Linked DNA regions of Caenorhabditis elegans. The protein of the gene in region 1 purifies or fractionates together with the protein of each later gene. This does not show direct contact. Each region holds a gene or a part of one and is shown on either strand. Other genes may lie near its edges.

Evidence for each region.
Region 2: the proteins of C46C11.4 (region 1) and M110.9 fractionate together in Caenorhabditis elegans (co-fractionation; one large-scale study listed by BioGRID). This does not show direct contact.

The regions. Positions count from the first base shown.
Region 1 is NC_003284.9:4,643,789-4,649,275, reverse strand, and holds C46C11.4 (F-box domain-containing protein), read left to right. Parts: upstream 1-2,071; 5' UTR 2,072-2,157; coding exon 2,158-2,274; intron 2,275-2,502; coding exon 2,503-2,579; intron 2,580-2,806; coding exon 2,807-3,097; intron 3,098-3,239; coding exon 3,240-3,549; intron 3,550-3,934; coding exon 3,935-4,206; intron 4,207-4,742; coding exon 4,743-4,872; 3' UTR 4,873-4,968; downstream 4,969-5,487. Other genes in the region: ent-5 (Equilibrative nucleoside transporter 1), read left to right, coding at 82-228, 272-405, 455-741, 790-989, 1,043-1,252, 1,304-1,500, 1,553-1,682.
Region 2 is NC_003280.10:8,229,472-8,233,504, forward strand, and holds M110.9 (DUF148 domain-containing protein), read left to right. Parts: upstream 1-1,804; 5' UTR 1,805-1,846; coding exon 1,847-1,930; intron 1,931-2,075; coding exon 2,076-2,135; intron 2,136-2,784; coding exon 2,785-2,880; intron 2,881-2,926; coding exon 2,927-3,121; 3' UTR 3,122-3,229; downstream 3,230-4,033. Other genes in the region: nte-2 (Putative patatin-like phospholipase domain-containing protein M110.7), read left to right, coding at 3,367-3,411, 3,459-3,546, 3,592-3,691, 3,868-4,033.

The DNA.
Region 1 (5,487 bases):
CATTTTCCAATTTTTTATTTCTTGTCTGGCTGCCTTTTCGTTCATTTTAGTTCATTAAAAGTTATGTCTTGTCTACAGGAAATGGTAATAATCAACCGATCGAACACCTATGCCGTTGAGCAGGAAGCATTTCCAAGAGACAAGTACAATATTGTCTACTGGCTCGTCATTCTTGTTGGATTCGGAGTTCTTCTGCCATGGAATATGTTCATTACTATCGCCCCTGAGGTTTGCAACTAGATAATTTTCACTAATAGAGTTCCTGTTTCAGTATTATGTGAATTATTGGTTCAAACCGGATGGCGTGGAGACATGGTATTCGAAAGAATTCATGGGATCTTTGACGATTGCCTCACAACTTCCAAACGCAAGCATTAATGTTTTCAACCTGTTCCTCATTATTGCGTAAGTTACAGTTCTTCTAAACTCTCAAAAATCAATCAATATTTTTTAGTGGTCCCCTGATCTACCGCGTCTTTGCTCCGGTTTGCTTCAACATCGTCAACCTGACAATCATTCTCATCCTCGTCATTGTTCTGGAGCCCACTGAAGATTCCATGTCCTGGTTTTTCTGGGTAACTCTTGGAATGGCGACTTCAATCAATTTTAGCAATGGGCTATATGAAAACTCGGTTTATGGAGTTTTTGCCGATTTTCCGCACACCTACATTGGCGCTCTCTTGATTGGAAACAACATTTGCGGATTGCTGATAACGGTTGTGAAAATCGGAGTGACCTATTGTAAGTAATTTTTCAATTTATTGCTTTAAAAACTATAACATTTTTTAGTTCTGAATGATGAGCCTAAACTTGTTGCAATCGTCTATTTCGGCATATCGTTGGTGATCCTTCTGGTGTGTGCAATTGCACTTTTCTTTATCACAAAGCAAGATTTCTACCACTATCACCATCAAAAAGGAATGGAAATTCGCGAAAAGGCGGAAACCGACAGACCGTCTCCATCCATTCTTTGGACCACATTCACAAACGTGAGTTTTTAAAATCAATTAGCTTCAAAATAAATATGTGTGACTAATTTCAGTGTTATGGGCAACTCTTCAATGTTTGGTTCTGCTTTGCCGTTACTCTCACAATCTTCCCTGTTATGATGACCGTTACCACTCGTGGAGATTCCGGCTTCCTAAACAAAATTATGTCTGAAAACGATGAAATCTACACTTTGCTCACAAGTTTCCTCGTCTTCAATTTGTTCGCTGCGATTGGATCCATAGTTGCTTCCAAGATTCACTGGGTAAATTGAAATTCAGAAATAACATTGCTTGAATATCATACAAATTTGCAGCCGACACCCCGTTACCTCAAATTTGCCATAATCTTGCGTGCTCTTTTCATTCCATTCTTCTTCTTCTGCAACTATCGTGTCCAGACGCGTGCTTATCCTGTTTTCTTTGAGTCTACTGACATTTTTGTGATTGGTGGAATTGCCATGTCTTTTTCACATGGATACCTCAGCGCTCTGGCAATGGGATACACTCCAAAGTGAGTTACAATTCGGTTGTTACTATGAAATTGGAAATCTTTAAATTTTTAGCGTCGTGCCATCTCACTACTCAAGATTTGCCGCTCAGCTTTCCGTTTGCACTCTTATGGTTGGCCTTCTCACCGGTGGCCTGTGGGCCGTTGTTATTGAGCACTTCGTGGACAAGCCAAGTATCTTATAAATATTTATAGCATTAGAGTATACTTGTTATATGTTGTTTTTATTAAGCTGTGGAATAAAATAATTATTAAATTAGCCCGTTTTCCCTTTTTTGATAGCAACAATTTGCTACTCAATATTGTGCCACTAATGCTCTGTGAAACGTGGAAGACTATTTTAGAGATTTTTTTTTGGAGTATTAATTCTGCTTCGATTAAGTTGTCAAGTGTAGCTTATGGGCCACCCTGTTGTCATTACTAAAAAAACAGTATGTATTTGAGTATGGTTACTCACTGGTAGACAGCTGCCACCGCGATTGCCGAATCAAGACCAATCTAACAGCATTCTCAGTAAATGCCGGCTACTATACGGCTGCTAAGGAGCAATAGAAGGCCAGATAGCGTTTACACCAAATTGAGGTCACCAGCCATGAGAACTGCTCGCACAGTGTAAGACACAGCACAGCACAAGAGGCACATTGTTCATATTGATCTAATATGCTTGCCGAATTGCTTTTATTAATGGTTTATGTTGGTGTTGGTCAGTTAATATTTTATCTTATTCGAAGAGCTTGTTGGAAAGCGTATTGTTTTATAAGGAGGCAAATTTTTCCGGTAAGTTTTTGCGGTTGCCAAGGGGCTTGTGGCTGTCCTTTGAGTGCACTTTTTCTGAATTTTGCGTCTGCAATCATGAAATACGCAGGTCTTCTTTTTGTTGCTCGAGTTATCTTGTTTATCCTTTACAAATTTTTTTAGTTTTCATTAAATAATCATTTGACAGCAAATTAGAAACTGTATTTCATGAAAATGAAATAGCATTCACAAACAATAATTGTTGTTCAGGGCAATCCATTAGAAATCCTTCAACTCCCACATCGCGCGTTTCGAGAAGTTGTGCTTCAAATGAATCTTCTCGAAGTGTAAGTTAGCTTTTTGAATTGTCTATCAGCGTCACTAAACTGAAAATAAAAGATCAAATTGGGCATTTTTTCATGTTCCCTGTTAGAATTTCAAAAGTATTATTCAAATAGCAATTTTTCAATTTGTTCAAAAGTGTAACCAACGCAATTATCCGAATAAACTAGTGAATTGTAGCAGACATTCAAGTGAACTCACATTAAATAAAACATTTCAAAAATTATTTCAGGTTGGCACTATCTTTTACCTCTAAGAAATCATTACTCAAAGTGCAGCAAGTGGAGCGTAAACTTTACAGACTGATGATACAAAACTGTCAACTGTATTATCACGGTAGAAGATCATTATTTGAAAAGATAAACTTTTTTCTAAGAATGCGATGTGTTCATAAACCTCGAAAAATTATTGCTCTGGACAGTGAACACAATTTGAAACAGTATCTGAAACGTTTGGAACGTCAGACAGGAGACACGTCTCATTGGATGATCAACCCAATAAGTGTTTGGGAGTTATTTTTCTCGTATGTTCATTAAATTAAAATTCTAAACCATTTTTTTTGAGTCAGTGAAAACTTTTACCATTTGTGAACGGTGTCTCAGTTGTGTCATTTTTTTGAAAATCAACTTGTTAATTCTTTTGTTCCTTTCAATGATTTTTTCCAGAATTTTCGAACTGCAGTCTTTCGGAATAGAATGTATTCAGTACAGAAAGAAATATCAGCTCATAGCCACAATGGATTATTTTTTCAAACTATTTTCTATTCAACAGCTTCACCTTCATTTTGATTATGATCTAATTTCTGATGAATCCTTTGCCGATCATCCATTGTTTCGTGAATGTCACTATCTAGAGATTCATGGAAAAAACAATGCACTTTCCAACCAAGATATGATCACTTTAAATCACCGATTTCCATTAAAAAGTGTATTTCATGCATGGTGTGAGCTGGCAGATGATTTCGATTACCAACTTGTAAGTTTAGTCAATGTTTGAGAGTGAACCAAATAAAAATAATGGATTTAATTTTTCAAACACTGATTGTTATGAAAGGTTCACAGAAACAGGTTTGATATTTATTAACTATGTAATTTTACATTTTATACAAATGGTGTGTGCCTCAAACTTTCACATGCAGGATGCACTCTACTGTTAAAACACAAAAGAAACAATTTTTTACAAGTTTCGTTGGTAAAAGTCATTTACTATTACAAATATCCAGCGTAATTTTCCGTTCCTATCAAGTTTGAACTCTGACATTTCTCATTAAACTCATTGTGGCGGAAAATTCATATGTTCAGGGAAAGTAAAAATTTCTAGATATTTTGTAAGGAAAATGCATATTAAAAAATTCTTCCAGCTCCGAAATATTCCGCGACTGAAAGTGGTCTACGGCGAGAAAATAACCATACAAGATTTGATGAACATGGAATGCGAAGAAATCCATCTATGGTTGAACAAATTGACATTACGAGATATTAATATGTTCATTCGTCACTGGTTAGCTGGCAATCTGCCAAACTTCCGAATTCTACAACTCCATGCCTTTGAAAGTGCACTACCTTGGGGAGAAGCATTAAATGGTATTAATGACAAAGTGAGGAACCTGACTCGCCAGCCGAGAATATATAAGTGAGTGTCTTTTAAATTCATATATATTATACCAGCCGTCTGGTAAACTCCAAACTTTATTGTCAATTCCGAAATTTTTAAAGCCAAATGAAAGTTTTATATTTTAAGTTTCTGAAACTTGTATATTTTAAACAGTTTAACTTTTCACAGTTGCAACATTAGTTTTCTCGGCTCGTTTAAAAATAAACAAAACTTGCGAATTTCCATACTTATTTCAAAAACTTCTAATTAATATTTCGAAAACTTTCCTGAAGTTTCTTAAACTTTCCAAAAAATATCTCAACATTTCTAAAAAGTTTTAGTAGTTTCTAAAATTTTTTGTTAGATGTGAAGCCTGACACTTTTGCATTATAACGACAGTTTTGGCAGATACGTACTTGAACCTGTCGACTGACTTTCATTTCCGGTAACCGGCGATCCCAGATTTTGTATTTTCCTACAATTGGCAATTCAGGCAACTGCCAAAGGTTTCGATTGTCCCACACATGGCTCCGGCATGTGCACTACAATAGGTCTGCATAACATCACTGTTACAGAAGCGATCAGTACGATTTGGATTGCACAAAAAGAGTGGATGTTGTTAGGGACGATGGAAGGATTTCTACCCTATGTTCAATGGATTTCTCCTTATATTTTGTTGTTTGGAACGAGGATGTTCAAAATTAAATATTAACTTGTATTTCAATTACTCTTGTTCAAACTTTAAATTATTTTTAAAGCATACGTTTTAAATTGAATTTTGAAATAAAACAAATATCAAATTAGCTTCTTTTCTGGGAATTTTTCCGAACAGAATTTTTCGGCATGTACTCAAAATTGTGCCAATAATGCTCCGTGGAACGTGAAAAACTTGGACTTTTTTCCGACGTATTAATTCTGCTTCAATTAAGTTGTCGAGTTCCTTTTTCCTTCTTTTTGGAGCACGAATGGAATGTATGAGTCATTCTTCCGTATTTTTTGTTGAGATTACCGAATACAGAACAAAAATTTTTTGAAAACAAGTTGCCACCTAGATGTCATCTAGAAGTTACACAGGGCAGTCCATAATTTTGTAATCCATTTTAAGCTTAGAAATTAGTTTTTCATATACATAGGTTTATGTAAAACATGATTTAGTGTTTGAAATAAAGAAAGCATTTACACAAGCATTTATGCAGCTTATGGACCACCCTGTGGCTTATAGACCACCCTGTGGCTTATGGACCACACTGCGGCTATGAACACTTTGAAGTACTCGCTTTAAAAAAAATTTAAAGTTACACAATTTTTAGAATCCAGTTA
Region 2 (4,033 bases), on another chromosome or scaffold:
TTCTGCAACTGCCGCACGGTTTTAAAACTGTATTTTTCTCAATAGAGCGAGAAATAACAAGAAAAAATAATTTTAAAACCGTGCGGCAGTTGCAGAAATGGGCGTATTGCAAGCCACGGTTCTGTGGGCGGGGCCAATCCCCCGAGTTGGTAATCCCCCCAATTGGACATCCCCCGAGTTCTTCGGGTCTCCATTTTCCACATCAAATAATAATTTGTGAAACTTGGGACTTCAAGCGACTACTATTATTGAGATCGTAGCGAGATTCACTCAGAAAAAACCAGCGTGCGCCTTTAAACTGAAGTTATGATACTTCTTTTAAATTTGAAATCAATTGTGATGGCGCGAGCAGAGAGACGAAAATCAAATTGAATTCGACGCAAGCCGAATTTTTGTTTGGGCACTTTAACAGCCTGGGAGTGAAATTGTATGTATCGACCCCTAAGGCGGAAACAGAAAACAACTTACAGGCTGCTCTAGACGCTGTAGTGGATTGGACAAGGGGAGCAAAACTCACCCTAAGCCAATCTAAGACAGTTCACGTCACAGTAGGGAGATGTAGAAAAGATTTTAAATACCACCTTGACGGTTACCCTATAGAGCGAAAAACAATTACCAGAGACCTTGGATTTCTAATATCAGAAAAACTGGATTTCTCGGAGTATTGGAAGAAATCTATCAATCTGGCGAAATTTCAGCTGGCCAACATTTTTAACCAGTACAGTACCTCCAATAAAAAACTAATGATTCTTTTATACAAAACTTTCATTCGTCCTCGTCTAGAATATGGAACAGTAGTGTCTTCTCCGACGAAAAAATCGGATGAGAAAGCAATAGAGTCTGTGCAAAACGCGTTCACTAGGCGCCTTTATAGTAGAATCAAAAAAAGGTATATTAATCCAACTGATAAAGATTACAAAACAGCCATGGAACGTAACGAACTATTCAACCTCCAAACCTTAAGCACGAGACGTAAAATAATTGACAGAATCCAAGTAATCAGAATGAATACTGGTAAAGTAGACTTAAAAACATCTGAGTTTTTTGAGCAACAAGCGACCCACACTCGTTCTAAAAAGAAATATGTCTGGCGCACAGGAAAAACTAAACTTAGGAGACACTTTTTTGTTAACAGAACGCTTTCTACTATGAAACAACACTGATCTGATATTATTCTTAATTTGTCCTCTTCCCTTCCACGTCTTGATCTCTCCTTTGAATATTCCCGATTTGCATTTCCTTTTGATTTTTTTCTCTATTGTGTTCTGTCTGTATTTTTTCTATTATTATTTTTTGCCTGTTGTGCATATTATTTTCACGACTAAAAATCGTAATAAATTAAATTAAATTAAATTAAATAATTTCCCCAGTTGCGACACTTCACCTTTTATTTCTCAACAAAGCATACACTTTGCCAATTCTTTGCAGTTTTCAATCGACTGTGGCATTTTCAGAAATATCATCCTTCAAGGTTGCTAACAGTTTTCAAGTTGCTCTAATAAATCCAAGAATAGTATTGTGAAAACTGCACTTTCTTACTCCCTTTTTCACAGAGTTTCTGATTCAAATAATTCGCAAAAAAAAAAACAAAAGGTTTGTAACAATCGGGGAGGATAACATGATGTTTGCTTGCCCACCACCACTTGCACCGCCACAGACACTTTTCACACATCTACAGTCCGGCTTCTCTTCTTGTTGTTTTCCTTTGTTTCTGGTCAATTGTTTGTACAGCGCCACGACTCCGCCCTATTTGTGAGAAAGAGCTGTCTTGCCCATCTCTGGACAATTAGTCTTCCTGAATCACACCTGTCATCCGGTGTTCACTAATAATATATTTTCTGTTGGTATGATCAAAAATATTGCCATTGTCAGTGTTGTCTTTTGTGCATTTGTCAGCACACAAAGAGCTCCGTCAACGGAAGTTATTGATGTAAGAAGACCTAAAATGTTTTGAAATATTATAAGTATTATCACATAAAGTTATTTCCGAATTCTTGTTTAGGAAGAATTTGATATTATTTCCCAGATCTAAATAATATTTGATTACTGTGTCACCTAAAAAACAAGATTTTCAGAAAATCCTCGGTAGTGCAGAAACAAAGACAATAGAGCAGATCAACAAAGAAATTGACAAGGTAAGTAACTAGAATCGGAAAGTGTTTAATTGACAAAATTGAAACTTAATTGAAACTAATCTAAACTTAACCTAAACTATATATTGTTCTGCTTCAATCGGCAAATCACATGCTATGGAATTTTCACTCACTACATCTAGACTTTTTTGACTACGAAAGTAATAATTTTAAACCTAACGAAAGCATTATGTTCTACGATTGTTCTATGAAAAAATTCCAATTTCACGGCGCTATGCGAACGTTATAAATTATTATTTCATTTTAAGAGATAATTACTGGATTTTCAAATTGTTATCCAATTTGGAACCTACTTACAATTAGTTCTAAGTTCACCGAAATTACTCAAAAAGTCCGTTTTTTTGGAAAATCTGGCAATTTATTAACTGCACATTTTGAAACACCTAACAAATTTTTGGAGTATTATTATGATATTCGGCCACGTTCGACGATGATAAGTTTAATTAACTTACAGCGCCAAACTTCCAAAAAAAAAAATTATAATAGCTGTCACAAATTCCATATACACTAGAATGGGAAATCTTACTTTTCTTCTCTAGCTGCTACACGCAAATTCAAAATTATTTTCTTTAATAGTATTTATCGGCTGCTTGTTTCACTATCATAGTTAAAAGAATAGAAACATTTTCAGTTAGTAGAAAAATTGGATGAAAAAACGAAACAGGAGCACAAGGCTTGGAAGTTGAGAGTGGAAAAAGATGAAAGAGAACGAAAATCTAGAATATTTGTGAGTTTTCAATTTTTATCTTAAAAAACTTATTTGAAAATTTCAGAAAGTTTTACCAAAACTATCGACACGAACACAACAAAAACTCATCCGAATAGTGATGACACAACAGAATCAAACACTTTCTGTTGGTGAAAAAGAACGAATTCTGAGGCATATTTCGACTTCAATGGATAATAATACTAAAAATGAGTTGGCAAGATTTCTCTCCGACAAGGATTTGTTTTCGTTAATTTACTGATTTATTGTATCATTGAATCAACTATTAAAAACGTTTTGTACATTTTTATTGAATTTGCCTATTTATTTTATTATATTTTGCCTGAATTTAAATAAACAAGCTCTAATTAATTGGCTTGTCAAATTGTGTACACGTAATTTTTATCCCGCCACGGTATTCAACAAAAAAGTTTTCTTCAATTTGGAGACTCAATTTATTTCCGAATAGTTCTCGAGAAGAAATAGGATATTTCGCATTTTTCCGAAATGTTACATTACCTGTTGTCGGTATTACTTTTAATATTTGAAAACGTAAGTGCCTAGACTTCTAAATTTAATAAAAGATAAGTATATTCCAGATATTAGAATTATGTATGTGTATTACATTGGTGATACTTATCTATTACTTCTGGCCTAGTAAACAACTCGAAGATGCTACTTTGCAATGTATGAATAGCCTTCGTGTAGCTTAACTTATTATGTTTTGTTCAGATTTCCCTGACACTACTCAAAATAGCTCGGAAGTGTTCATTGATCCGCCGGAGCGAAATCCAATATTCTATCCAATCAGTCCATTAAGACACAAGAAAAGGTAAAATAAGTTTTATAATCTACAGGGTTTGAGCGATTCTAGCTGCAATTGAGAACTCCCAATGGTTTTGACTAGCTGGATTCAAGTTACACGAACCCCTTAATATATGTCAGAACTATTCCTCAAAAAATCCAGCATATTGCAAATGTAATCTTCAAAGTATTGTAAAACTACAGATCAAGCAAGGAGGAGATGACACCAGATAAGAAACGAGACTCTAGTGAAAAGATTTCAAAGCAGCCTCCCAGAGAACTTTTCGAGCCAAACGAGCAAGAACAAGTACCATCACACATCAAACCGGAAATATTCTTCGTTTTGAAAGCATTAGAAGGCCTTGAATTA